7 linked regions of the Mus musculus genome follow. The protein of the gene in region 4 interacts with the protein of the main gene of each other region in a pairwise test. Links are inferred from orthologs where the notes say so. Each region holds a gene or a part of one and is shown on either strand. Other genes may lie near its edges. The genes, in order: Abt1, Kansl1, Atp5o, Cep70, Tsga10ip, Fam214b and Sh2d4a.

What was found.
Region 1: the proteins of Cep70 (region 4) and Abt1 interact in a two-hybrid assay, tested with the Homo sapiens proteins (2 studies listed by BioGRID and IntAct). The two-hybrid records come from large-scale screens. The link is inferred for Mus musculus from reciprocal best matches to the Homo sapiens genes CEP70 and ABT1.
Region 2: the proteins of Cep70 (region 4) and Kansl1 interact in binary tests that used the Homo sapiens proteins (3 or more experiments, as listed by UniProt). The two-hybrid records come from large-scale screens. The link is inferred for Mus musculus from reciprocal best matches to the Homo sapiens genes CEP70 and KANSL1.
Region 3: the proteins of Cep70 (region 4) and Atp5o interact in binary tests that used the Homo sapiens proteins (3 or more experiments, as listed by UniProt). The two-hybrid records come from large-scale screens. The link is inferred for Mus musculus from reciprocal best matches to the Homo sapiens genes CEP70 and ATP5PO.
Region 5: the proteins of Cep70 (region 4) and Tsga10ip interact in binary tests that used the Homo sapiens proteins (3 or more experiments, as listed by UniProt). The two-hybrid records come from large-scale screens. The link is inferred for Mus musculus from reciprocal best matches to the Homo sapiens genes CEP70 and TSGA10IP.
Region 6: the proteins of Cep70 (region 4) and Fam214b interact in binary tests that used the Homo sapiens proteins (3 or more experiments, as listed by UniProt). The link is inferred for Mus musculus from reciprocal best matches to the Homo sapiens genes CEP70 and ATOSB.
Region 7: the proteins of Cep70 (region 4) and Sh2d4a interact in binary tests that used the Homo sapiens proteins (3 or more experiments, as listed by UniProt). The link is inferred for Mus musculus from reciprocal best matches to the Homo sapiens genes CEP70 and SH2D4A.

Annotation. Positions count from the first base shown.
Region 1 is NC_000079.6:23,421,067-23,425,154, reverse strand, and holds the start of Abt1 (activator of basal transcription 1), read left to right. Parts: upstream 1-1,288; 5' UTR 1,289-1,322; coding exon 1,323-1,569; intron 1,570-2,472; coding exon 2,473-2,672; intron 2,673-2,819; coding exon 2,820-3,182; 3' UTR 3,183-4,088.
Region 2 is NC_000077.6:104,439,521-104,443,679, forward strand, and holds the start of Kansl1 (KAT8 regulatory NSL complex subunit 1), read right to left. Parts: upstream 2,801-4,159; 5' UTR 2,205-2,800; intron 1-2,204. UniProt on the Homo sapiens protein: Non-catalytic component of the NSL histone acetyltransferase complex, a multiprotein complex that mediates histone H4 acetylation at 'Lys-5'- and 'Lys-8' (H4K5ac and H4K8ac) at transcription start sites and promotes transcription initiation.
Region 3 is NC_000082.6:91,928,831-91,932,813, forward strand, and holds the start of Atp5o (ATP synthase subunit O, mitochondrial precursor), read right to left. Parts: upstream 2,801-3,983; 5' UTR 2,726-2,800; coding exon 2,690-2,725; intron 1,575-2,689; coding exon 1,524-1,574; intron 180-1,523; coding exon 69-179; intron 1-68. UniProt on the Homo sapiens protein: Subunit OSCP, of the mitochondrial membrane ATP synthase complex (F(1)F(0) ATP synthase or Complex V) that produces ATP from ADP in the presence of a proton gradient across the membrane which is generated by electron transport complexes of the respiratory chain.
Region 4 is NC_000075.6:99,241,916-99,246,140, reverse strand, and holds the start of Cep70 (centrosomal protein of 70 kDa), read right to left. Parts: upstream 2,801-4,225; 5' UTR 2,651-2,800; exon of another isoform or gene 2,257-2,650; intron 1-2,256.
Region 5 is NC_000085.6:5,399,707-5,403,943, forward strand, and holds the start of Tsga10ip (testis-specific protein 10-interacting protein), read right to left. Parts: upstream 2,801-4,237; 5' UTR 2,755-2,800; coding exon 2,626-2,754; intron 1,454-2,625; coding exon 1,314-1,453; intron 1,232-1,313; coding exon 528-1,231; intron 355-527; coding exon 207-354; intron 1-206.
Region 6 is NC_000070.6:43,037,502-43,041,500, reverse strand, and holds the start of Fam214b (protein FAM214B), read left to right. Parts: upstream 1-1,199; 5' UTR 1,200-1,535; exon of another isoform or gene 1,536-1,686; intron 1,687-3,999. UniProt on the Homo sapiens protein: Transcription regulator that may syncronize transcriptional and translational programs.
Region 7 is NC_000074.6:68,345,366-68,348,204, reverse strand, and holds the end of Sh2d4a (SH2 domain-containing protein 4A), read right to left. Parts: intron 2,253-2,839; coding exon 2,032-2,252; intron 1,552-2,031; coding exon 1,459-1,551; 3' UTR 501-1,458; downstream 1-500. UniProt on the Homo sapiens protein: Inhibits estrogen-induced cell proliferation by competing with PLCG for binding to ESR1, blocking the effect of estrogen on PLCG and repressing estrogen-induced proliferation. May play a role in T-cell development and function.

The sequences.
Region 1 (4,088 bases), on a different chromosome or scaffold from region 4:
TTGTGTCTTCTTTACATGTGCCCCTCCCCCAGTTCTCAATGTTTTGAAGTAACTATAAGACGCTCTCAAGTGTCATCATTGTTGGTGAAGTAGTCAGTTAAAAGTTAAAAGTAGGGGTCTTTTCTCTCCATATTCACTTTTCATAAAAGGAGCAGAGGTAACCAACAGCAAGTTCTCTTCAATGCAAGTCCCCAAAGTCAGGTTTAGTTATTAGGTCCTCAGAAGCACCTCAGCTTTACAAATAACGCCCAGAGTCTGTGGACACAGTTGCCCTGTCTTCTATATGTCATCGTGATGATGAAGGATAAAATATTATGTAGGGCCTTGACGAGGGACAACTTGAGTCCTCAGGATCATCCTGCTCTCCGTCCGTCCGTTAAGCAGGAGGGGAGGTTAGTACATCATTTCTAGCAGAGGCATCATCGCTCGAGCGTCATCAGCTGCTGTGGCCCGCCTCTGCGTTGGCCCTGGCGTGTAGGTCCCAAAAGCGAGGCGGCCTGCTGATGTGCGGACCGCGCCCCCTGGCGGCTGGTCCGAGGCTGAGACCTGCAACCCGGACCTTTCGCTCATCAACTTGCACAGATTCGAACACAATAGTACTCAGCTTTTTACTCAAACAGTTACAGATTTAAGTATTCACAAGGTGAAATGTAAAATTACTAAAGGCGCGTTTAAAATTTTAAAACCGCAACTCCAATTAAAATCCCAAAAGAATGCGTGCAAATTTATAAGCTGCTTCAAAAACTTTAATTTTAAAATGTTAAAACTTCATATAATTCAAATAATAAAATAAAAATTCAAATAATATGTTGAAACTTCAAATAATTAAAACTTCAAGGCTCAGACTGAAGTTTACAAGTTGAACTTCATAAAACTTTTTAAAATGTGTGTTAACCTTTCAACCACATTCGCACCACAGACCTGGAAGAAAATGCTGTTTTGGTCTCTACAACACACTCTTTCAACACTCTGTTCTGTAAAAATCCCACGAGAGGCACCAGGGTACGCTCTTGATGCATGGAGGCAAAAATCATTCATGCACATTTGTAAAAAAAATAAAAATATTCCGTGAGAGCTTGCCTCAGATGAGGGCTGCGCGCGACGGAAGTATTTTACCGGGACCCAGGTCCTGCGGCTCCCAACCCTTCTCCTCAGTCCAGTCTGTTGGCCTCGCCCCTCCCGCCCCGCCCAGTCTGTCTCTGCCCCGCCCCTCCGCACCCAGGATTTACGTCATTTCTTGGCCCCGACCGCAGATTGGCTCGCAGGATGTGCGTCATCAGATGGCGACAGATTCACGGCTGTCGTGCTCCCCAGATCTTGCCATGGTGAAAGCGGGAGAGTTGGTGGAGCAGCAAAAGGCTGCGATGGAGGAAGAGGCGAATGCAGAGGCGGCGGAGGATCAGGAGGAGCCCGAGGACACGGCCTGCAGCAGCAGCAGCAAGAAGAAGAAGAAGGTAGTTCCGGGGATTGTGTACCTGGGCCACGTCCCGCCGCGATTCCGGCCCCTTCACGTACGCAACCTGCTCAGCGCCTACGGCGAGGTGGGACGCGTTTTCTTCCAGGCCGAGGGTAAGCCCTGCGTCGAAAGGAGAGGTGACGATGCGGGCAGCCGGGCGCGACTCATTTTCTTGGCTGTACACGAATGAGGCGTGGGGTGCTGGCTCTTGGAAGGCTGTGGCCCCTTCCTAGCTGCTAAGTGTGTAGTACTCACGTCCTTTAGGTGGCAGGCAGGGGCGGGGAAGGGAAATGGAGAGGGTGAGTGGATAGAGAGAGTGGTTTAATAAGGCCTGAAAGAGACCCACGATCTTCTCTTCTTTCTATTTCTTAAAATTTTATTTACTTACTACTTTTTGTAGCTGTCTTCAGACACACCAGAAGAGGGCATCAGATCCCATTACAGATGGTTGTGAGCCACCATGTGGTTGTTGGGAATTGAACTCAGGACCTCTGAAAGAGCAGTCAGTACTCTTAACCACTGAGCCATCTCTCCAGCCCTCTCAATTTTCAAATAGTCCCTGAAACTGTATGATTAGCCTCCTTCAGCCTCTTCACCTTTGTTTGTTTGTTTGTTTGTTTGTTTTTCGAGACAGGGTTTCTTTGTAGCTCTGGCTGTCCTGGAACTCACTCTGTAGACCAGGCTGGCCTCGAACTCAGAGATCCGCCTGCTGCTGCCTCCCAAGTGCTGGGATTAAAGGCGTGCACTACCATGCCTGGCTCTCTTCCACCTCTTGACATGCACAACTTGGAAATGGAGGTGGGGACTGGTGTTGTTCTTGGTGCTGTTCTAATGTTCAAGAAGTTGTCATTTGAAGGGAGGCATGAATTAAGGAAAGGAGGAGCTGCCCCTTACAGACAGCCGTGTTTCATCAATCCCTGTAAAGTAGCGCCTAAACCAGCAGGTGTGGCTTACGGCTAAACTGAGGTGTGTCTCAGTGGGTGCTTGATGGGATGTTCATTGTGTTTGGCCTACAGACCACTTTGTGAAACGCAAGAAGAAGGCAGCCGCGGCCGCAGGAGGAAAGAAGGGAGCTAAGTACAGCAAGGACTATACCGAAGGCTGGGTGGAGTTCCGAGACAAGCGTGTAGCCAAGCGAGTGGCAGCCAGTCTACATAACACGCCCATGGGCGCCCGCAAGCGCAGCCCCTTCCGTTATGACCTGTGGAACCTCAAGGTGAGGTTCTCAGTTTGTCTGCCACATCTTCATTCCCCCCTCCAGCTCTAGTCCAGGCACCCCATCCTTCCTGCTAGCTCTGAGCAGCTCCCAGTTTCTTCTCCCGACCTTCCCTACCGTGACCTTTTCTTCTTTTCCTTCTCACAGTATTTGCATCGTTTTACTTGGTCCCACCTCAGTGAACACCTTGCCTTTGAGCGCCAAGTACGAAGGCAACGCCTGAGAGCAGAGGTCGCCCAAGCAAAGAGAGAGACTGACTTCTATCTTCGAAACGTAGAACAGGGACAACACTTCCTTGCAGCTGATGGGGATGCTACTCGGCCAAATAGCTCCTGGACATTCACCCAGCGTCCCACTGAGCAGGAGTTTAGGGCCCGGAAAGCTGCACGGCCAGGAGGGCGGGAAAGAGCACGGCTGGCTAATGTCGAGGACCAGGCCCGATCCAACAGAGGGCTCCTTGCCAAGATCTTTGGAGCCCCTCTACCTGCAGAGAGCAAGGAAAAACCGTAGTCAATAAGGGACTCCTGGTGATGGAAGAAATACCTACCAGCCCTGCGCCATTCTGATCTGCTTCCTGAAGAGTGTGACCATCTAGGCAGATGTTTTCTCTATTCCACACACCAAGAGTCTGGTAAAGGCCTTTTGTTGGTGTCTTTTACCTACTTTGAACAAATCCTGTAAGTGCCAGCCTGAGAACCTTACTCGTCCTATCCAGGGTGAAGACCACTGGAGGTGCCTGTTGTGTTTTGTTTGATTTCTGATTGCCTGCCTCTTTCTCAGTGGACAGCTAACAGTTTCTGACTGAAAGAGTGGACTTGCCCTCCACTAGGGTAGTGGTCTGTGGTGTTTGTTCACTGTGGTGGAAGGCTGAATTAGCAGGAATTGGATTAGAGGTCCAATTTGAGGCTTATATTTGAAAATAAAAAATAATTTATTTTTATATGCTTTTTAGTTTTTCATTAAGTAAGTTTCAACTTCTTTTGAAGCCATACATGCCGCTCAGTTACTTTAGCACAGGCATGATTCTCCTCCACCCATGAATCTCAGTTACTCTATCAGATATGATCCCAATGCTCCTGTGTTAGTCAGGGTTCTGTAGAGTCACAGAACTTATGGGTAGTCTCTGTATAGTAATGGAATTTGTTGATGGTTTACCGACTGTAGTCTTAACTCCCAACAGTGGTCAGGAGCACCTGTGAATGGAAGTGCAAGGGTCTAGCAGTTGCTCAGTCCCACAAGACAAGCAGGTGAAGGAGGGTCTTCCTTCTTCCAATGTCATTATGTAGGTCTCCTTAGAAGATGTGGCCCAGGTTAAAGGTGTGTGCCGCCATTCCTGGATCTGGGACTTGCTTTGTCCCACATGACCTTGAACTCAGAGATCTCCTTTCTACGGAGGAAGTAGTCCAATGTAGTAAA
Region 2 (4,159 bases), on a different chromosome or scaffold from region 4:
AAACCTCCAATTTATCTCAAAATCTGCATAGAACTGATGACTTTTGTGTACAGAAACAAATCATCACATACACTTAATTAAATAACTACCTTCATCAGAATAAAGATTTTAAGAATCTATGTGATTGTTAATGGTTCCAAGTAGATCACACTTCAAAAATAATGTCAAACCACCTCAAGTTCTGAGGTCACTAACAAATCAAATCAAATATTCTAAAGGTCAAAAGAACTGTACACTTGGTTGGCTAAACCTAGTGGAAATCTAATTCAGGATTCCATGACTAAGGGTCGTTACCAAATAGTTACAATACATTGTTTAAATTTCCAAAGGATGAGCATTTTTACCTCGCAATATTTTTAGAGCAACACATCACACTGCACCTATCACATGACATGATGTAACTGTTAGCAAAGAAAATGGCCCAAGCCATTGATAACATACATCAGGAGAAAACAGATCAATCATACTCAAGAATTACATTTTATATTTACTTTTTGAAGCTAGTAACTTACCTAGAAAAAGAAAAAAATGTACTTTAGCATTTTATAGTTAATATTTACAAGAAGTTATAACAACCAAGTAAGAAGATTGGAAAACTAGAATTAAAAACTTCTCTATCAAAAATGCAACAAAGAAACACATCAAAAGTATCCACTGTCAGAAGAAAAAAAAAAAAAAGTCTCAACTGACAACAGCTGCAGTTAATTGAAAATTTCTAAATTGGTAGGAGAATAAGACAAGAAACCAAGTACAGCCCATAGAAGAGAGGAAAGGGAAACACGCCCACTTTATGCTTTTGTAAATACTGGTACTTCAAATGACCTTAAAAACAAAAACAAAAAAGGGAGGTGGGGTGGGAAATATAAACTGCAGACCAGTCTAAGAAACAGAAATCATTTTAATATAACGATTTTCCTACTTGATTGAAAGTACTTTTGAGAAGAAGTTCTGTAACTATATCATGATTATGCAAGGCAAGGATTATGTAATTTTATCGTTTATTTTAAAATGTTCTCCGAATGTATTAAAAAAAAAAAACCCTAGAGCATTGTGATCTCTCTAATGGGCAGAGGGACACTTACTTGGCTACAGCTTAAAATATTAACATACACCCCCCCAAACAAACAAACAAAACCCCACAATGATTGCTAGCCACGTGACGAAGGATATGGCAACACCAGGATTGTGAATGGAGGGGAGGAAAGCTAGGTTGGAGGACTAGCGAGATTTCTCTTAACTTTGGGGACTGCAGGATTCGGGTTTCTCAATCTTTAAGGTACCAAATTCTAACCCCTAAGAGTTGTACAGCTAACACCCTCAAGTGCGGTTTTATTAATAGGTCACGGAAAATGCTCCAGTGACCTCCAGGATAAAGGAGGAAAAAACAGGCGGAGGAAAGAGCAATTTAAAGTGGCGCCATCATGTCACCCCTTTTCCCCTAAGGCAATCAATAAGCAATAGTTAAGTAACGAGTTTCTCTAAAAATCCACATTGGGATTCCAACATTGGAAAACAAAAGGATTTCTAGGTAAAACATGGGAGTAAGATTGTTTACAATACGGAAAACAATTATAAACTATTTGCTGAGAATCAAAGGCCGTCAGTCCGAAAACAGGCCCCCCCAAAAGCAGTAAGATTCCAACTCACTTAAAAGCAAATAAATGCCTCTTCCTCTTTAGTTGAAAAAAAGGGCTGCCTGAGACTAGATCCGAAAACGCAAATGACCTCAATATTTAAGCAACAAAAAATGTTAACAATCAGAGTTGTGATACAAACCGTGAGACAGACATGCAAGATGTGTTTGAGCAAAGAAAGACCTTTTGCAGTCAAGAGAAGTTCAAGGCGAGAGCAAGAGTTTGTTTTTGGTCTTTTTGTTTTTGCTTTTTTTTTTTTTTTTTTTCGGAAATAAACCAGGTTCTCCAGGCCGCCTTTTTAAATAGAACGCCAAAGGAAAGCCCAGCGAACGAGGCGGCAGCTGGTGGGGAAGGGCCCCCGCACACCCCCGCCCTTGGGGCGACTCCCAGCCCGGACCCGCAGCGGGGAAGCCCGGAGAGGCCATTTAAAGTTCCGGGGATTTTTCTTCCCCTGCCCAGCCTTTCTAGTTACAACTAACAAAGAGAGGGAGAAATGGGAACCACAGGGAGAGCGAGGAGAAGGAGAAAGGGCAGCGGGAGGAGGAGGAAAGGAGCAGCAGCAGCACCTACCACGTGATGGAGGAGCGTAGCCCGGGCGGATTCGGCCCCACAAAATGGGCGCAGTTTGCAAACAGCCCCCCGGCCTGGGCGCCGAGGACCAGCGGGCGGGGGCGCGCGGCTGCTGCTCCGGCCCGGCCCGCCGCTCTCCTCCCCCCCGGCGCCCGGAGCCGCCCTGACTTTCCGGGCGGGGGGGCGAGGCGGAGGGGGAGGGGAAGGCGGCGGCGGCGGGGAGCGGCTGCTTTTTCTTCTCTTTCGGGCCCTTTCTCCGGCCTTCCTCCGTTCCGACCCGGCCTGGGCACGGCGGGGACCGCAGCCCCGGGCGGGCGGGGGCAGAGGGTAAAGCTGCCCCCCCCGCCCCGCACAAACAAGCGCCGCCGTCTGCAGCCCGCGCCCGCACCCCGGCCGCCACCCCGGGAGCTTCTTCCCGGCCGGGGAGCGCACTTCGGCCGCCCCCCAAGCCGCCGCGGCGAGACGAGTCGGCTTCGCTACGGCGCTTGGTTCTCCCGCCGGCTCAGCGAGCGGTGGCGGTGGCGGCGGCGGCACTGGGAAAATGGCGGCCGAGCTCCTTTTCCCTCCCCCCCTTTAATCTGAAGCGGAGGGAGAATGGAGCGAGCAAGCGAGCGGGCGAGTGCCGGGGACACGGGGAGGAGGGACAGCAGCGCCTCCGCCGGCTGCGGCTGCGGCGGGCCGCTCCGCCCCGGCGCGCCGCCAGGGGGCGCCCGCCTCGCCGCCCCCGCGGGCTGCCAGGAGGCGCGGCCGCCGCCGCCTCAGTCATGGCTCCTAGCCGCGGCCGCTGCTTCTGCGCCTCTGTTTGCGGAAACCGGTGCCTGGTGCCTGATACGTGCGGCAGCGACACGCGGCACTGCGGCAAGCGACGCGGGGCCCTCGCTTCGATCGAGGTGAGGCTAACCTGAGGCGCTGATGCCGTCACATTCCCTCGGCTCTGTGGCTGGCGGTGCTGCGCGCCGGTTTGAGGGGAGGGCGGACTGACACAGCAGAGCTAGAGGACGTGAGCGAAGAACTGTGTGTGCAGTGAATGAAGAAGCTGCTGCGGCCACACTACCCCAGGGCCAACCGTGCTCTGAGACGGGCAGGAAGCTCCCTGACCAGTGACGCGGTCCCTGCCACCCGCCCTTTGTCCTACACCCTGCTCTGTACACTGCAGCACACGGCTGGCTGCTAGCCCTAGCGCCACGCTCTGCAGCCGCCAAACCAAAAAATAAGCGGACGCCATTGCGCAGGCGCGAGCTAGGACCGACTCGGGGCTAGCCCGGGCAGGGGCAGCTGGGAGCTAGAGGGGAAATGATGGCCCACCAGCGCCGGGCCCGCTGGGAACTGTAGTTTTCGTTAAGCCCGCGTGTTGTTTTAGGCTTCTTGATTTGTCAGATCCGCCAAAATAGGCAAAAACGCATTCATTACACAGTAATTTTTTTGTTTCCTGCTACTACCAAATTAAAGTTCACAGACCCGCTAAAAGTTTAACAATGAACAACAAAAGCAAACCTGTCATGTTCTTACCAGCGTTGACTTAAAAGTAGTGGCACCTAATTACTCTTGACTCTAGTTTGTCAGCACGATATCGGTTCCTTCCTCCCAAATAAGGTTTAATATCAGAGAACATTTTCTGGACTTAGAAAACTTAATATAACGCAAAGTGACACATTACACAGTACAAATCCACCACCCTTTAAAGCTAACCATGTCCAAAGATTATTAGGACTCACCAAAATCAAATAGCATAAAACTTGTTCCAACAACTAAATCACCAAGCTCAGCAGATGAGAAGAGTAGAGTCTACCAAAAGGAAGATGTAAAATGCTCAATACTTTGTGTGGTTTACCAAACCAGTATCCGGTGTTATGTGTCACTTCAGCTCCTCAAAAAAAAAAAACTATTGTTATAGACCAGTTTTCATTAGCCCACAAAGTCTCTAACTCAACAAGTTTCTGCAGTATCTGCATCTA
Region 3 (3,983 bases), on a different chromosome or scaffold from region 4:
GGTTCTTTTTATAGGCTGTACCCCGTTAGGACCGGACACAGGAACAAGCCCAACAGAGAGCTGCTCACCCCTACGCGCAGCAGCTCCTTCTCCACCTGGTCCAGCTTCTTCTCCTTAGATGCAGCAGAGTACAGGGCGGTTGCATAGCGGCCTTCGATGCCGTAGACCTGAACAGGGGGCTGGAAACAAGAGTAAGAGGGGGGGAGTGAGGCAGCTAAGTCAGGAACAGAATTACCCCCAACTCCAAGACTGCATTCCCACTGCCAAGCCAAGGTGCAGTCCTAAATGAGAACTCACAAACTAGGGCCGTCTCCCTGGCCAGGACCCTCTACCTTTAGAGGGGCAGAGAGGGCAGTGTCCAGCGTCTCTCCCAGCTCTCCCTACCTGCAAATGTTACAGCAAGCTTTGGCTTTCTTTGATCTCAGTGACAATGCCATCCCTAAGCACAGGAGTTTAGTACGACGGCAGGCAGTTGTGAAGATTAGCAATGCAGGGGCAGCAGTAAGAAGTGCACATGTGGATGTGTCCCTATCACGGTCATGGTGTTTTATGAAGTTCTCAGGAGGAATAAAATGGCTCCACTCACAGAGGCTGAAGGAATCTGGTGCTGTTATTAAGCGTAGCGTGTGTTGCTGTAAGTTCCACCCAACGTCCCTAGAGCATTGTATTCTGCTATTCCTAAGGGGACCATGAGTGCAGATCACTGGCCTGGTTGCCCGAGAGCATACAGCAGCCCAGGATATCTTCAGATTCTGCCATGCATGAATTAGTAACAATGAACTATAGAATAAATGCACGTGCAGCCATACTTCAATCTGTCTTGGGCCAGAGGTCAGTCAGACTTCTGGTTTAAAAAGAATAGGCCAATAGACCTCTGCAATCAATGGTGAGACTCTTGGTGCCTGGGAATGGTACCTGTCAGTACTGATTCTGCTTGGGGAAACAAGGTGCAGGCTGCAAGCAGGCCTCACATCTGAGCAACTCGGAGTTGCCACAGAGTATCAACTGTGTGAGAATCTGGGCACTTCACTTTCTTTTGTTAGAAACAGTTCCTTCATAAAAAAAAGAATGAAAGGCTAGCTTGTCTATGGACGATTGCTAGGAAAAACAATTTAAGAGTCTTTTATACATACAGTGTGTGTGTGTGTGTGTGTGTGTGTGTGTGTGTGTGTGCGCGCGCACGCACTACACGCAGAGAACAGAACAGAAAACTTTCAGGTCTTTCTTTCCTTTCCCCCTCCGGGTTCCAGGGATTGAACTCACACCCTCAGGCCTGCCATCCAGCCCTTACCTGCTGAGCTCTTGCTGGGCCCAAACAAGTTATTTTTAGAACATTAAAGTCTAGGGTTGAGCCCACCCTGTGTGACAGGCGCCCAACAGCATCCCCTGCACCCAGGCACTCATCTGGGAACTGCCACCCTTGCAGACCAAGGTTATTAATTACACACTTCAACGTATTTCTGTTCAACTCACTCTTTCATTGTTTTCCAAACACACACACACAAATAAGTAAGCTGACATACCCTTACAAGCTTGGCAAAGGGCCTGACCACAGATGTACTGAAGCTCCGAACCTTTAGAACAAAAGAAAACAGATCAGACAGGGTTTCTGCATTAGCTTAGCAATGTGTTAAAATAATCTAATCAAATACTTGCGCAATTCCTTTCTATCATCACACAGGTTATATGAGTGGGAGCTGCTCTTTGTTATACACTCCCTATTGAGAATCACCCCAAATCCCTCCAGAAACTGCCTTCCCAACACCTTCCTCCCTGGATAGCTGAGAGAGAAAAGCTGCTAACTTCCCAAAGTGGAATTTTTCAAAATAATTAAGAGCTTTATCACATTTGGGAAGAATGCTTTATGAAAGCGGAGGATTTATATTACATCACCTTTGAGAAAAACTTTAATGAACATGAAATGAGTCCAGTCTTAATTCAAGGAAACCTACTTGCTTAGGAACTGAAATGCTATCTAAGACCAAAGATCTCTTGATACAGCACCAGGCTTCAGGCACTGTGTCTGTCACTGGAGCAGCCTGGAATCCAGTTTAAAAAGCGTTTTGCGAGGGCACAGGTCACAGTCATATACTACTCTCTCTAGACTAGAATGTACTCGATTGGAACTGGCTATGAGGGTTAAAAAACTTTCTAACGCCTTAGTAATAATTCTGTATGGTGCAGATGAAAACCATGACGGCTGTCGATACAAAATTATCATGGCAGATGACCCAGGCACGTATTTTTTTCCACCCAATTCCAGGTTCTGCTGGACTTGGCCTGTTGCAAGCTCGCCATCACTCACCAGCTGCCAGCCAAAGGGGAGACGTTTAGCCCTTCCCCCCTTCTTTATAAACACAGGGGATGCGCTTTTCCAACACTCAAAATCCTAAGCAGCAGGCAGCCCTTAGGTTTACCAGCAAGGACAGGCATGTACTCTCCCCAGTGCTCTCTCCCATGCCCTTGCCAGCTGCTCCGCTATGCAGTGAGTCCTGGATGTCAAGGTCAAGACAGAGAAATCCGTGCCCACTCCCCACGGGGACGAAACGCGGATCCGCCCCACGCTGCCTGCAGTCGCCGGGCCCCACGACCCTGGGCGGGCTGCCTGACCCCTCAGCCACGGCCTCACACGCGGCGATGGGAGCCGGGGACCCGCAACCCTGGGAGGGAGCCTCCCGCCAGCTTCTACCTGTCGAGACAGTCCGGACGCTGCAGGCGCGGCCATCTTTTCCCGGGCGGCTGTAGGTCAAACCCAAATGAAAAGAGACTACTGGCGCCAGAGCGCACGCGCGCGCGCCAGCGTGATCGCTCGGCTTTCTGGGAAATGTACGCGTCAGGAGCCCGGGAGTGTGGGTAAGAACCTCTTGCATGCTGGGAGTTGTAGTCCGTACCTGCCGCGGTCCGGCTGGACTCGTGAACCGGAACCAGAAAATTAAGTCTGAAATTAGGTTTAGATTTAAACTCTTTGCACATGCATCGTCAACATCGTTGACTCGTCTTGAACCTGCCAAGTGTGCTTCTGTGGCAATGCTTCAGGCTTTACTTAAAACAAAAACCAAAAGTGAACCTACCCGGGCGCACTTCTTGGCTCTTCTGGCCATATTTTGATTACATAGGACAGTTGACAGGTGTGTTTGTGCTTTTTCTTTTTTTCTTTTTTTAGATTTCTTTATTTACTTCATGTATATGAGTATACTGTAGCTGTACAGATGGTTGTGAGCCTTCATGTGGTTGTTGGGGATTTAATTTTTGTTTTTGGATCTCTGCTCGCTCCAGCCCAAAGATTTATTATTATATTATACATAAGTACACCGTAGCTGTCTTCAGATACACCAGAAGAGGGCGTCAGATCTCATTATCGGTGGTTGTGAGCCACCATGTGGTTGCTGGGATTTGAACTCAGGACCTTCGGAAGAGCAGTTAGTGCTCTTAACTGCTGAGTCATCTTGCCAGCCCGTGTTTGTGCTTTTTATACCCACAGACTCAAAATCTATATATAATTTATCTATATATAATTTACTTTTTAATATGAGGGAAGATGGATACAGAATTATATGGGTTGCAAATACATTCTTTTAGAAATTGTTTTATGTGTTTGAGTGTTTTCCTGCATATATTCACGTGTACCATGTGTGCCTGTTGCCTTAGAGTCCAGAAAAGGACATCTAGTCTCTTGGAGCTGGAGTTAGAGGCAGTTGTGAGGTGCCAGGGGGTACTGAAACTGAGCACAGGTCCTCTGCAGGAGCAGCCAGTGCCCAACCGCTGAGCTGTCTCTCCAACCTCAGAAATACATTTTGTATAAGCAAATTTCTAAATTATGGCACTTTAATAAACATGTCCATAGCTGCAGAATAACCTACTTTGATTCTATAACTTAACCATTCTATGACTTTTCAACATAACTCACGTGGTTTATATTACTTTAATATATTACTTTAATACACATCTGAGTATCTTTAGATATACTTTTTCATAATTTCAAA
Region 4 (4,225 bases):
AACAGCTTTTTCCACAGATGCCCCCCTTCCTTTCCCCCTTGTCCTTCCTCCTATTGCTTTATTGAAACATGTGCAGGATATTCAAATCTATCATTCTGATATGTGGCCTTCAAGGGTAGTTATCCTTGCTTGCAAGTGTACTCAAGTAAAAGCAGGAAGCAGAGAACTTATTTACACCCGTGATCAAGCCCCCACCCCCTGTAACCCCCAAGGTTCTCTGAGTTCTGAAAGTGTTCTTTAAAAAGTCATAGTAAAAACCTGTAAGCTTTTTCAAGAGCACACTTCCAATTATTACAAATTGACACAAAGTATTACCTATTAATGCAAACATGCTAATCGTCTGTAGTAATCTTTTCCCCATCCAGGCTATTAACAAGACACGGCTTTGGAACCTTGAAAGTCACAGGAAAAAAAAAAAAATAACGGCATCCTAGGGCCAAGGCAGAACCTTTACAGAGTGTTGTTAACACACAGGACTCCTAGAGTAGGAAGTAGAGGACGGATGTCGTTTAGCCACGTGGCAAATAAAGCCAAGTGTTACAAAAAGGAGAAAAAAAATCACATACCCATAATTCCCAGCTTTGGGTCTTAGGAAGGATATGAGACAGCCCAGGCTACATAGTAAAACCCTATCTCAAGAAAAGAAAGAAGCCAAACACAGTGGTAGACACCTTTAATCTTACCACTCAGGAGACAAAGGCAGGCAGATCTTGTGAGTTCGAGGCCAGCCTGGTCTACACAGTGAGTTCCAGGACTATATAGAGAGACCCTGTCTCAAAACAAAAACAAAAAAACCAAAACCAAAACAAAAACAAACAGAAATGAAACAGCACAGTGCTAAGAGCATGTTATCCCTTACAGGGGACCAGAGTTCAATCCCCTTCACCCACGCCTGGCAGCTCACAACCACCTATGACTCCAGCTCCAGGAGATCCAACTCCTCGGCCCCCACGAGTACCTGTACACATGAACACGCACATAATTAAAAGTGGTAAAAATGTTTAGTGGCGGATGGTGATGCATGCCTTTATTCCCAGCACTCAGGAAGCAAATCCTAGTGGACTCCTGTAAGTTCAAAGCCAAACTGGTCTACATAGTGACTTCCAAGACAACCTGGACAACATGGCAAGATCTTGTCTCAAGAAAAGGAGGGTGGGGAAAAAGAAAAGAGAGAAAAGGAAAATAAGAGAAAAAGAAGATAAGAGAAAAACAAAATGAGAAAAAGATGAAACTGGAGATGTTTGAAACAGAACCTTGGCTGACCTAGAACTAGCCTAGGCAACCCATCCCTCTCAGCCCTGGGAGTGTGAGTACAAGTGACAGCCATCATGGGGGGAAAAGTGTATATTTTGACACAGTCCATCCATGTTTCACAACAGTTCATTAATTGCCCTGTAGGTATCTGAGGATCTGTTAAAATACAACACATACTAAAATTTTATAGCCAGGCAATGGTGGTGTGCACTCAGGAGGCAGAGGCAGGAGGATCTCTGTGAGTTCTAGGTGAGCTGGGTCTAGAGAGCTAGTTCCAGGACAGCCAAGGCTACATAAAGAAATCTTGCCTCAAAAAACAAAAAACAAAAACAAAAAAAAAAAAAAAACAAAACCCCCATAAATATAATAGCTGGGTGTGGTGGTGTTTAGCTGTAACCCCAGCATTTCAGAGGTTGGAGGATCAGGAATTCAATGTCGTCCTCAGACGGCCTGCATGAAACCTTGCCTTAACGTGAATCAACAATTCAATTCCAACAACATTGCAACTTGCTCTTCACGGTTTACCATTTACTAGCTATTTACTATTTACAAAAATCCATGCAATGCACAAGATTGAAACCAATGCCTGCAGCGCTGATATGATTACAAAATAAAGTGGCAGGCTAGAGAGACAGCTCAGTGGGTAAAGGCACTTGTCCCAAGAAAGCTTGAGAAGCAATCCTCAGAATCCACAGGAGGCGAGAATTCTGTAACCCCGGGCCTCCTGTAGGGAGATCGGACTCTGCAGCTCTCCCCTCCATCCCCTACAGTATGCAGAAAAACAAAAGACCTTGTCTCAAACAAGGTAGAGGCAATGACCGACGCCCAAGGTTGTCCTCTTTCTCTACGTCTGCACCGTGGCGTGAACAATTATTGATTAGTTGATAATAGTGGGAACCTTGATTAGGCTTTGCTGTGTTTTTCACATTAATCAACGTGGACCCACATAAAGGCGGAGTCCTTAAATTTGTAATGAGTCTGACAGGAGGGGTACTCGCCTACCCTTTACTCCGCGATCTCCCACTTGGCTCCAAATCGCTATCACCTGACAGCGCCGCAAAGAGAACTGGAGCTAGCCCGGAACCCAGCCGATTCCATGTAGGAGTCTAAGCTCAGTTCCTGCTTCCTCTACCAGGTCGCACACCTTCAACACTCGGCTGGGAGAAGAGGTTGAGTGAGGAGCGAGGGACACAAAGCGACGGGCGGGCTCCCCGCAGGGAGGTCCACGCCCACACCTGCACGCGCATTTCCTAGCTAGCGCGTAGGAGCCGGGGCGACTCCATTCTGAGGGCCCTGGCTGGTGAGTGGGACGCTCCGGATTCCGGAGAAGCCACCTTTGGGCGTGCACCTGAAGGGGGCCCACGTAAAGTCCTCGGCGACCCCAAGCGCCACTCACCTCGGTCACAGCCCGTGGCTTCCACCGCGCTCGCCCCCGCGGCCTAAGCCCCGCCTACGCGACCGTTAGCGCAGCCAGGCTGACCAATCGAACTGACGCAGTCGATGGCCTCCCAGCGGGGCGGGACAACACCACCTGGCGCGCCGGGAAGGCGGGTCCACGCCGCGCTCTATCGTTAGCTCCGCCCACGGGGCGGGGCTTCTTCCCGCCTCCACTCCCACCGGACCCGGACTTGCTGCGGCTACTTTGTAGCAGGCGCTTTGACACTTCCTGGACGCTCCGCCTGATAGTCGCTCAGTCACCATGGTGTTTCTTTGATCCCCGAGAAGCTAGAAATACACACATTTGCGGTTGCAAGTGAAAGTGAGGCCGGGGCTGCCTTATTATCACTGGATGCCTGCGCTCCCTACAGCTCCCCCTCACGCCCTGACTGCGAGCCTTTTTCAGGAACTGTCTGCACGGGGCAACCCCAATAAGCATTTCTTGATAACATTTCACCTTCTCCTTGAATATTTTCAAAGGTCTACGAAGAACTGAGATGCCTGCCTGACGAAGCTCAGTCTAGATAGGCAGTTTGGGCTCCTGTTAGACACTGATAAGACTGGTTAATAAAGGGTTTGTGGCTACAGAGATAAAAGATTACATAAGGACATGAGGCACAACTCTTGCTTCAACTTTAGATAAGCTGAAAAGCCTTGAAAACGATCTATGGGCCTCCAGGTTAATTAAGTCAAGATCTCTAAAGTGGGGCCCACACGTCCAGAGTTTATATGGTTCCCCGAAGTGATTCTAATGTATAGCCAGGAGGGAGAACCAACTGTCCGCTGAGAAATAATTAAGACTGATTCTAAACCTGGTGGGGAAGAGGGACTGGAGATGTAGATCAGTTGGTAGAATTCAGCGTCCGGGAAGCCCTTGGGTTTGATTCTTCAACACGGCCTAAGACAGGCGAGCTGACACGTGCCTGTAATTCCAGAATTTAGGAGGTACAGGCAGATCAGGAGTTCAAGGTCATCCCTGGCTTTATAGCAAAAGTCAAGACCACCGGAAGCTACAGGAGGCCTTGGCTCAAGGAAAAAAATAAAACGAAGGTCCTTCTCCACTCTTTTCAAAAACCAAAAGTGGGTTAAGAAATCCAAAATATGTAAGGGAAAAAAAATCATGTTCGCAGTCTAAAGGATGACCTCGAGTTTTCAGGAATCTACCATCGTTGTCCTTGCAACTTACAGCCACACGGTGGCGGTATTGACAACAGGCATTTCCAGAAGGACTTGGGAAATGCAAGTCCCATCAGGGTCTTAGTGACCCTAATACATCAACTAAAGTGACTCTCTCTGGGTGGTCCAAGGGCACATCTCTTAAGAGAGTACTGCTCTCAAGCCCACGTTTAGGCACACAGTGAGTCTAAACTGTGTGTGTTCTCTGCAAACACATCCCAATCCCTCTATTCCCCCTCATGGCCCCTTCCTTCCCTTTCTATATCTGGATATTCACACTACGGAGCTGACAGATTTTCATTTTCAGCTTCCTAAGACAATCTAACTGCTTACCTTTTCCAGAACAATAGGGTGACTT
Region 5 (4,237 bases), on a different chromosome or scaffold from region 4:
GAGAGGAAGGAAGGAAGAATGAGAAAGAGAGAGAAAGAAAAAAAAGAGAGAGAGGAAGGAAGGAAGAAAGAAAGAGAAAGAAAGAAAGAGAGAGAGAGAAAGAAAGAAAGAAAGAGAGAGAGAGAGAGAAAGAAAGAAAGGAAGAAAGAAAGACGCCCCTCTCCACCTTCCCTCACTTCTTGCTTCCCTTCCTCTTTTGTCCTCACCTGGTGGCTTCCTGTCGTTTATGGAAAGTACGATTAGGGAAGTTGGCAGACAAGAAACTTTCATCATCTCCCAAGATGGGGGTCTTCTTGTTCCTGGCAGAGGCCTGGACAGCTGCCCGCAGCGCCTTCCAGGTCTGCTTCTGGGGACCTTTCCATGGGAACACCAAGTCTGGATCACACTCTCTCCTGGTTCCCTGGGCAGTTCCACCCAGCATCCAGACAACTCCTGGCCCACCCCAGCTTCTACCGCCGACCCCACCCCTCCATCTGAGCACAGAGTTCCCAGGATGGCGGCACCTCAGGCCTCCCTGCGGTACTAACCACATTCCAGTTCTTCCTGTAACTGCCTGTGTAGCCGCTCCAGGTCCCAGGGCCCCTTCAGGTCCTTGGCCCTTGAGATCCCCTTCTGTGGCTTTCGGAGACTGTTGAAGCTAGAGCTGCTTCCCTGGTTGTGGCTCTGCAGCTCCCCCTCTTCTGAGCCCTTCTCTCCAGAATTCCCCCCCTTATTGACAGAACTGCCCTTTCCCTTGTGGGGGTCGCTGTGTTCCTCCTCCATCGCCTCTGATATCAATTCCTCCTCCAAGATCAAGCTCTGCCCTGGGAGCTGAGGCAGTTCCCCAGAGCTGAGACTTTTCTCAGCCTCTTCAGAATTCTGGCCTTCTATCTCTAAGACATCCTCAGACTCTGATCCTGACCCTTTCCCTGATAACCAGAAGCTAGGTTGATCTAGCCCTTGACTCTCCACTTTGCTCAGAGGCAGGGGAAAGTTGGCCCAGCCCCCTAGGTGATGTCTCCTCCCCACGCTTTGCTCTTCCATCTTGTGGCAGGCTCGAAGGTCTTCTGAGAGGTTGGCTACTGACTTGTGCCTGGACTTGCACTGGGGGGCTGCTGGAGGGAGGAGCAGGGGTCGATGGCCCATGGCCATAGAGGAACTTGACTGAAACAGAGCCTGGCCATCTATGATGAAGCTCTCCCAGGCCCACTGGAAAGGGAAGGAAGGCTTTCGAGAAGGTGGACTGAAGAGACTGCAGGAGGAAGAGGAGAGAAGTCAGAATGAGGGTCCTCCTAGTCCCCAGTGCACCTTCCAGTCCCTCCCCAGCAACTTACTCCTCTGCCTCAGCTGAGCCACGGCCTTTCTTGTTCCGCCTCCGGGCCTTTCGCTCTTTCTTTGTTGTCTGCCCTGCGCTGTAAGATCTTTGTAGCTGGCAGCTCTGACTCTGGAGACTGTCACCACTCCCAAGGCACCTCTGGGCAGGGACAGGGAAGAGGGGAGCTCTGACTAGCCTCCCATATGGTGCTTCCTCTTCAGGTTCACCTCCCAGGGGCTTCCTCTCTGTCTAGACTGTGCTGTGGCTGCCTATAACCTTCTCTGATCATTCACTACCTCTTCTGTTAAGACAGCACAAGCTGGACTGGAGAGATGGCTCAGTGGGTAAAAGCACCCGACTGCTCTTCCAAAGGTCCGGAGTTCAAATCCCACCAACCACATGGTGGCTCACAACCATCTGTAATGAGATCTGACGCCCTCTTCTGGAGTGTCTGAAGACAGCTACAATGTACTTACATATAATAAATATTAAATATTTAAAAATAATATAATAAATATTAAAATATTTATAAATATTATTAGTTTTTGTTGTCTTGTTGAGATGGTGTCTTGTGTAGCTGAGGACGGTCTCAAGCTCACTGTATAGCTGAAGATAGCTTTGTTTTGAGATGGTGCTTTTCTGTGGAGCCCTAACTGTCCTGGAACTCACTCTGTAGACTCGGCCTCCAACTCAGAGGCCAACCTGCCTGGGATTAAAGTTATGTGCCACCATGGCTTGGCTGATGATAGCTTTGAACTACTGATCCTCCTGCCTCTGTGTCCCAAGTGTTGGGATGACAGGCTGCACCAGCATGCCTGGTTTGGACTTCTTTAAATTTTAGAAAAATATCGGGGTGTGATGACACACAGCTGTAACCCCAGATACGCAGGAAGCAGAGAGGGGAGGACTGTGAGCTCCAGGACAGCCCAGATCAGGTAATTTGGTAGGAGACTGCCCAACAAGCCATCCACTGCTGGCACCCCAAAACACCAAGCCACACCACCCACAACAAAAGCTCACATTTTTCTGGATGTCACCCAGGGCTCTGGACTTAGTGCTGAGGAAGTGACAAGTTCCTTAGTGGAAGGAAGGAAGGAAGGAAGGAAGGAAGGAAGGAAGGGTTTTTATTTCCCTAAACTCCTTTCCTCCCTGCAGTGTTCCCAAACTGCTCCATCTGTCCTCTGTGGTCCTTGTCCCAGGCATTCCCAACTGTTACCAGGACCTGAGCTCCAGTCTTACGTTTCCTCAAGAGCCTTAGCCAGGGCTGACCTCTTCTGGCCTAAGATGCCAATGGGCGGTTGAAGCTCCCCAACTGGGCCTGCCTCCCTCACCTGGTCCTCCGGAGAGATGCTTGATAGAAGTCTGAACAGCCCTGTAGATGTCCCTGGAACCAAGGGCTCTGTACTCTGCCTTGGTCTCTCCGATAAGGCCCTAACCAACAGTTGGTCAGTGTTTAGCATATTGGCATGTTGCCCTCTCCCACCCCTACCTGCCAGCTCTGGAACTGCCCTCTCTGCCATCTCCATGACAACCAGGCTGTGACCGGTCTGAATGATTCCAGCAAAAAGTACTCGGTAGCGATCAGCCAGAGTTCTGCTGGTCTCCTTTACGAGACTGTGTTCAACAGCGCCCAGAACTGCCTTGGGCCTTGCCTCTGCCCCTGCAACCTGACCTGGTATAAGCTCCCTACTTCTCTAGGCCTATGTTTATCCATCTGCTTTTGAAGGGATATCAGAACTTGTCACCTCAAAGGGCCCTCAGGTCCTGTGAAAATGCCCCATTGCTGCACAAGGCAGGCCATGGCCTTCTGGCCGCAGGATACTGTGTCCCTCAGAGAGGCAGCAAGCCCCTCAACCTGAGAATGACAGAACTTCAGCCATACTTGTTTCCTGAGCCTAATGGTGTATATTTATACATTGACTGGCTTTGTTTTGAGCATTTTGTTTTGCTTATTTTAGACAGTGTCTCACATGTAGCCTAAAAAAATTAAAAATTAAAAAATAAAACAAAAACAAAAACAAAACATGCTGGGCAGTGGTGGCACACACCTTTAATCCCAGCACTCGGGAGGCAGAGGCAGGCAGATTTCTGAGTTCGAGGCCAGCCTGGTCTGCAGAGTAAGTTCCAGGACAGCCAGGGCTACACAGAGAAACCCTGACTCAAAAAATCAAAAACCAACACAAAAACATGTAGCCTAGCTAGCTGGCCTGAAAGTCACTGTATAGGCCAGGCCGTCCTTGAACATACCGTCCTCTGCTTTTCCTCTGCTTCAAGAGAGCACTGGGATTAAAGGCGTGCGCCACCACACCCAGCTGGCATGTACATATTTTAAACCTCTCTAGCCATGTAAGGGCCCATTGGATCTGAGAACTCCTGGTTCACTTCATAATTGGGGGAGCACATGATGAGTGGTTGGAAGTTGCCACTGAGCCACTAGGCTTAAAGGGAAGAAGAACATAGGATTACCGAATAGCCGCTGGGCAAAATACAATTTTAAATTTCAATTAAAATAAAAATTTCAAATACAATAAAGTTCAAAATATGATTTAATTTTCAATTAAAAGAATAAGCCTGGGTCTGGAGAGATGGCTTAGCAGTTGAGAACACTGACTGTTCTTCCAGAGATCCTGAGTTCAATTCCCAGAAATTACATGGTGGCTCACTACCATCCATAATGGGATCGGATGCCCTCTTCTGGTGTGTCTGAGGACAGCTGCAGTATATATATGAAAGAAAGGAAGGAAGAGAGAAAGAAAAGAAAAAAGAATAAGCCTGTCATTTTACTGTTTCTATTGCTACAATAAAACACCATGACCAAACAGCAAGTTGGGTGGGGGAAGAGTTTGCTTGGATACATAGTTCATCATCCAAGAAATTCGGGATAGGAACTCAAGCAGGCCAGGAACCTGATGGCAGGAGCTGATGCAGAGTCCATAGAGGTGC
Region 6 (3,999 bases), on a different chromosome or scaffold from region 4:
AGGTCTGTTGTGTACTTGTATTAATTGTAAAACCCAGAGAGGAAGTAGGGGGGGCCCTCTTTTTACAGTCCAGTAATAAACTAATGGTCCTGGGGACTCATAGCATAGGCAAAGCATTGGCTTCTACTTCCTTTGGTTCTGCTGTTTGTTCCCTGTTTCTGTGACCGACAGGGAGAAAAGGCCTGAGTTGGTGACAACCTGTCTGACTTGCTGATAAGTTCAGAAGACAAAGTAGACAAGGCTATCCATTTTCTCAGGTTATCTCGAGAGCACTCCCTGTAAAAAGTGTCTGTGAATGCCCAGTCCTCGCAAAAATTCCGTCCTGGTTATTTACAGAGCTAAGGACAAAGGTTAGGGATGCTGACTATAATGCTGCTTAATTTGGCTGGCTCTGGGCTGGGCCCGGGGCCCTGTGACTCAGGGGGAGCTTGGTGAGTTTCGAGGGAGCTGTGAGTCATGAAGACGAACTTGGTCTCCATCTGACTTTGGGCAGAAGGCCTTCTAACTCACTTCTTAGGATGCTCTGTTTCCTCGGAGCAGAGGCCTGTCAGCAAAGAGTGCTCCAAAGCCTGGTCTCGGAAGGGTTTTGAGAGTCCCTGAAATGTCAGCCTCCTGGGGTCTCTAACAAAGACAAAAAGGGGGTGGGAGAGGATGCCATCTTTCAGTATGGATAGAAATAAGGTACGACTGTAGTAGGTCTTTTTTTCCTGCTCTTGTAGAAAGCTTACTCGATAGCAACCCTTTTACCTGGAGCTGTTTCGGGATGTGGGGGCGAATGGGCTTGGGGATATGTAGGGTTGGGTTTGGTGTGACTTGGAGATTGTTGAGATTTATCTGTGAACACACTGGAGCTTCATATTAATTTACTTCAGAACAGGAAGTGTGGAGGAGAAAGGTTTGTTGAGCCCTGAGAGAATGAAGTCTGAATGGGGTTAAATGACAGGGCAGAGAATTGCTTAGGACTTGGACAGAAAAAGGGTTAAGGAGGTGGGCGGAGCGACATTGGGTAGGCCTGCCCTTATGTGGACCAATAGGCGTGCGCTCCTTGAAGAGGGCGTGACTCACGCTTGAGGTTGCTGAGAGGCTGGCCTCCACTGGGCCAATGAACATAGTTGTTGCCCATAGAGGGTGTGGTCTGAGGGGGGCGTGGCAGCCGTGGTCGCAGTGCTGGGGGTGGCTGGGCGCTGGGCGGGGCGGGCGGCCCCATCAGCTGGTAGGAAATGGCCTGTGAGTCAGAGGGGCAGCTGAGTCTGCGGCGCGGAGCCGGGGCGGCCCCGGGGAGGGACCGTCGCAGGGAGGGGTGCAACAGCAGCTAGAGGGGCTGCGGACGCCAGAGCCCGCTAGTGTTGCACACGAAGCTGATCAGGGAAGGGCCAAGCAGAGCAAGGCTCTCAGCCTAAGCCACCCTTTGTCTGGGTTGGGGGCCCGTAGTAGGGGGGACTGGTTATCCGAGGGGAGGGACCGGGACGGGGACGGGACCGGGACGGAAGGGCCCGGAGCAGCGGCCACCGCGGCGGAGCCAATTTGGGAGCGGGGTGAGTGTGTACTAGGTGGAAGGATCAGATCTCCAAAACCTCTGCAGGGTATGGGGCCTGTCCCAGACTGTGAAGAAGGGATGAGAACCGACCTGGGAGGCTAAGCAGGGGGTGGGAGGAATCGTCCAGAACAAGGAGTCCAGGAGTCAAGGTGAGTCTCCCCGTCTGAGTTTGGAGGGGTTTCTGAGGTCTGCTCCCTCTCTATTAAAGGTGAAGGGCTCTAGGCCAGAGTGAGAGCGAGTGTGAAAGCAGAGATTAACCTTTCTACTCAGAACAGTGGTCTTGGGAACAGTCACCCTAGCGTGTGTAGACTTGTGTGAGGACAAAATGTACAGCAGTGAGCAGCAGGACTCTGCCCAGGATAAGAGTGGAAAACACATGGGTAGGAATTCTTACCCTAACCTTCCTTAGGGTAAAAATGGGTGTCTTGAGAGTGAAGGGAAGGATAGAATGAGCCTAGGTGTTCTTCTTGTACCACAACCTCTCCCACCTCCCAGGTCTAACAAGTATCTGAGGGTACAGACCTCATGGTATTCTGGGACTTGTTGTTTTTGCTGGCCTTGCTCTCGGCATGTTGGGAGCTGTAGTCCTTGGCAGCCACAGTCTGGCACAGCTGTTTAATGCCAGCTGCTGCCCATCCCCAGCATGGAGGGCGAGGTTTGGCTTATACTGGCTTGTCCCTTCTCCCGGCAGTCCTACCCCATGAGTCAGCTTGAAGCTGGGTGGCAGAGGAGTGAGTCTTCGAGCGTCTCTGGGCAGGGAGGGAACTAATAGGACTCTGGATTAATGAGCAGATGCCAGCATGCTGGGGTCAAGTAGGGCATCATGTCATCACCTGGCTTCCTCGAGGCAAGGGCTCAGGAGGGCAACTGAGATGACCTGGAAATTGGGGTGCTCAGGAAAACGCCCTTCTTGAACTTTAAAGCTTGGGTGGAGACTAGGAGGGGAAGAAAGGAGAACAGGTCATACTCTCACGACACTGCTACTACTGGCGTTCTCCGCTTTCTAGCCATCTCACCCACATGAAGGACTGGAATGTTCTTAGGGTCTCATTCGGAAGGGGGCCTGGTGAAATGGCAAGGTGTGGTCTGAAAGGAAGGCAATGGCTGATGTAGGAGAGTCCCTACGTGTAAATGTCCCCCCTCTCTCCGTCTCCTGCCACCACATGAACTGCTGCAGTTCCCCATGTACAATTAATCTCTCCACTCTTCACCCATACAGTGTGTCTCTACACTGTCAGGCTGCTGACCAGATCACTGGTGCTAGCTCGGATTTAGGCTTTTTTTTTTTTTTTTTTTTTTTTTTTTTTTGAATCTTGATGTGTGTTTCTCCTGAGCTTGAAGTTGGGCTGGGGAAGAAACACAGTCCTGTCCTCGGGCCTGACATAATCAGAAGTGAACAGCAGTGTCATCGGGTTTCAGAAAGTAGTTAGTGATTTGCCTGTCTCTGCCTCCAGAGTGTGTGGACTAAAAGATGTGTGCCACCACTCCCCTCAACTTGTTTGTTGGTTTTGTGTTTTGTCTGAGGTAGGATGTCTCATAACCTCATCTGACCTTAACTGTCTGGTGTAGTGGGAAGTCTGGCTGTAACCTGGTTTTTGTTTGTTTGATTTTGACAGAGGACCTCTCAACATGTAGCTAGACTGGTCTAGATCCTCCTGCCTCAGCCTCTAGCACTATGTTAAAGGGCAGTATGGTTGGTAGTGCTCACAGGCTGCTGACCAAATAAGGATGACAGTGGGGACAGCTGGCCTTCAACTTGAGAGTCTGGTCACTGAAATATTAGTGGTCTGTGAAGACCATTGTTGTGCTTTGGCAACAAAGAAATGCTTTAGCTTTTTTTTTTTTTTTTTTGAGTATTGGTTGTGCCCTGCGGGAGGGGCATGGAGAGATACTCCAGTTATTTCCAGTTGGCTGCTTGCTGCTTCCTTATCTCTGGTTTGCAGGGCCTGGGGGGAGGGGTGAGAACTAGAAAGTATCTTCTGACTGCGTTCTCTCCTTCCACCACTTGTTTTTGGTTAGATTTCTTTTTGTTTCGGGGAGGTCTTTAGGGGATGGGGGTAACAGTGTAGCCCTGGCTGTCCTGGAACTCACTCTGTAGACCAGGCTGGCCTTGAGCTCAGAAATCTGTCTGCCTCTGCCTCCCAAGTGCTGGGATTAAAGGCATGTGCTACCCATGCCCTGCTGGATTTCTTCTATTAAAAAGACAGATTTCTGAGGAACGTTAGGATTTTAAATGTGCAGGGCTGGCTTGGAGCTGACTTGAGTTCTGTAGTTGTGTGATGGGGTGTACCTACCTGCATGACCTCTGCCCTCAGCACTCTCGAGTGGCACTTGCCCCTTTGGATAGATATAAGGAGATGAGTTGTGTAACTGGGTAGCCTTGAGTAAGAGAAGTACAGTATTGTCCTGTCCACCTACAACCTGACATGGAATCTCTGGTCTTTGGGGCATCTTATCCCCTA
Region 7 (2,839 bases), on a different chromosome or scaffold from region 4:
TCCTAATAGAGTCCTAGGGAGAGTCTGGGCCTGGGCCGTACTGCCTTTCATAATCCCCGCCATACCCTGCCCTACACCACTCTACTCTCTGTTTCTGTGGTCCTTTAACCTCCATCCTCATGTTTGTCTTTTTTCTTTATCTTTCTCCCTTATACAGATGCAACTCATTAGATTTGGAGCCTATCTTACTTATCTTTTCTGCACAGATCCTATTTCTCTATCAGTTCATACTCAGATACAGAAGGGTCAGGACTTCATGTATATTTGGTGTGGGACACAATTCATCCCTCAATAGGTGGTATCCAAACCACTCACTTATTCAGTTCTTCTCTTGGAATCAGGACCACACAAGTCCTTACATGGCCACGCACAGTATCTTTTATATTTACTTTCAGATGGGGGGGGGGGGGAGTAGAGAAGAATGAAGAAACAAACCCTAAGATTACTCACGCGTCTTAGTTAGGGTTTCCAATGCTGTGAAGAGACACCATGACCAAGGCAACTCTTTAAAGAAAAACATTTAATTGGGGCTGGCTTACAGCTTCAGAGTTTCAGTCCTTTATAATCAAGGCAGGAGCGCGGCATTTTCCAGACAGGAATGGCAGAGGAGGAGCTGAGAGTTCTGCATCTTCTTCCGAAGGGAACCAGAAGACTGAATCTCTCAGGCAGCTAGGAGGAGGGTCTCAAAGCCCACCCCCACAGTGACACACTTCTTCCAACAAAGCCACACCTCCTCCAACAAGGCCACACCTCCTAATACTACCACTCCCTGTGGGCCAAGCATATTCAAACCATCACACTCAGGGTTACTGTCACAATAAAACCTTTGGTTGGTTGGTTGGTTTTTTTCATATGTGGTAAGTCTCTCATCTCAAGTTTTGAAACTTGTCTTTCAATTTACACTTGGGTCTTTCTCTTCTGTCTTCTATAACCTCACTCCAACAGACACAGAAAGGGTGGTCTTTTGAAGATAATCTCATCCCTCAGTGGGGACATTTTTCCACCATTCTAAAAGCAAGATAAAAATTTATACACACAGAATACTGAGACCTTTGAGTGAATAACAAAAAGGGAGTGTGTAGATCATGAAATTGTTCACTTGTTCTTTTAAAATAACATCTTAATTGCTAAAAAGATTTCAGTGTACCCTTGTCCTTTTTATCTTATATACATCATCATGGTCATATCCTTCAAGGTCCTATCCTTCATATTAGGATGTTGCAAATGTGGGTACCTTCCCCCTTTTCCTTTCAGAATGAGGATGAGAGAGAGGTAACACCCCCTTAAACTGAATCCAGCATTTATGCAGAAGAGAGGTTTCAATGAAGACCTCAGACGTTGTTCACTGTTGGCTCTGTCACAGAGAGATTTTGGCATCACACACAAATGTCCATCTCAGAGGTGTCTGTCCAGAGGGGAAACCAGCTGGAAGTTGGAGGCTGATCTGGATGAGAGTTGTCACTGGAAGAGCTCCAGGTAGTCGGGCAGCTTGTCTTGTTGACCACAGGGGTACAGAAGGAGTTCCTTCCCCAGAGAGGTTATGGGCTCCTCCTGTCAATCAAAGCACAGGGCCATGAGGCAGCTATGTGGTAGACGTTCATGCTGCTCCTTAGGGGAGATCACTCCTCTACCCTGGGTTTATGCATACCTAGATTGGCTTATGACAATACTAAAAGAGATTTCCCTCCTTTCAGTTTCCCTGTCCTACTGAAGCCCAAGTTCTAGCATAGGAACACCCTCAGATATGCTCAGAATATACATCTCTAGTATTCTCAGCTCCCGTGGGATATCTCTGAGTATGCCAGGTGGATATGAGAAAGGAAATACAATTAAAACCCCTTGTTACCAGCAGAAATTATGTGCTACCACCATCCCTTTGCTCAAGGGTACTTGAGCTATATCCCTAGTCAGGCCTTTCTTTGTTATATATTTATTTTCTTTGTTTGTTTCTTTGTTATATATCTATATTCTTTGTTATATATCTATAGGACAATAATTCCTAGTGTGAATTAAACATATGATTGGATTCACCTTGTGATATTCCACCAAATCTGCCAGTGTAGCATGCTGCAGCTGGTCCACACCCAGGAAGCTGTAAGAGTTGGCAGATGCATCTATAAGGAAATGTTTGCAGCCTTCCTCAGACAGGTAGGACAGGGCATAGCCCTTGATCTTTTCACTGACTCGAATCAAAAAACTTCCCGGCACACCTGTGCTCAGAAGTTCATTTGCTTTCTTCAGTGTGAGAATCCCTGTGGGAAAGGGAGAAAAAGTCATATCAGTCAAGTCCCTACAAAGTACTCCTCTGTTGCCCCTCCCTATATGAATTAGAGTTTACGAAAATCAGAATTAAATTCCATGTATATCTTGAAGTCTTTGGGAATCAGAACAAAACAAAACTCCTGTTATTTGGTTACTGGACAAACACAAAACAAATGGATAGTTCATCAACTTGACCCAAAACTAGAATGACATTGAAAGAAGGATCCTCAGTTGAAGAATCACCTTCATCAGACTGGTTTGTGGGCTTGTCTGTAAGAGCATTTTCTTAGTTAATGATTGATATGGGAGCCCTCTGTGGGTGGCACCACCCCTGGCAGGTGAGTTGTGTAAGAAACCAAACTGAGCAAGCCAGTAAGCAACAGTCCTCCTTGCTCCAGCTTCAGTTCCTGCCTCCAGGTTCCTGCTATGAGTCCCTACCCTTTCTTCTTTCAGTGATGTACTGTGGTTTGGGAGTTACAAGCTGGAATAAATCCTTTCTTCCCCAAGTTGCTTTTGATAAGTATTTTATCATAGCAACAGAGAAACAAACTAGAGCAGATAGTCAAAGAACTGTATT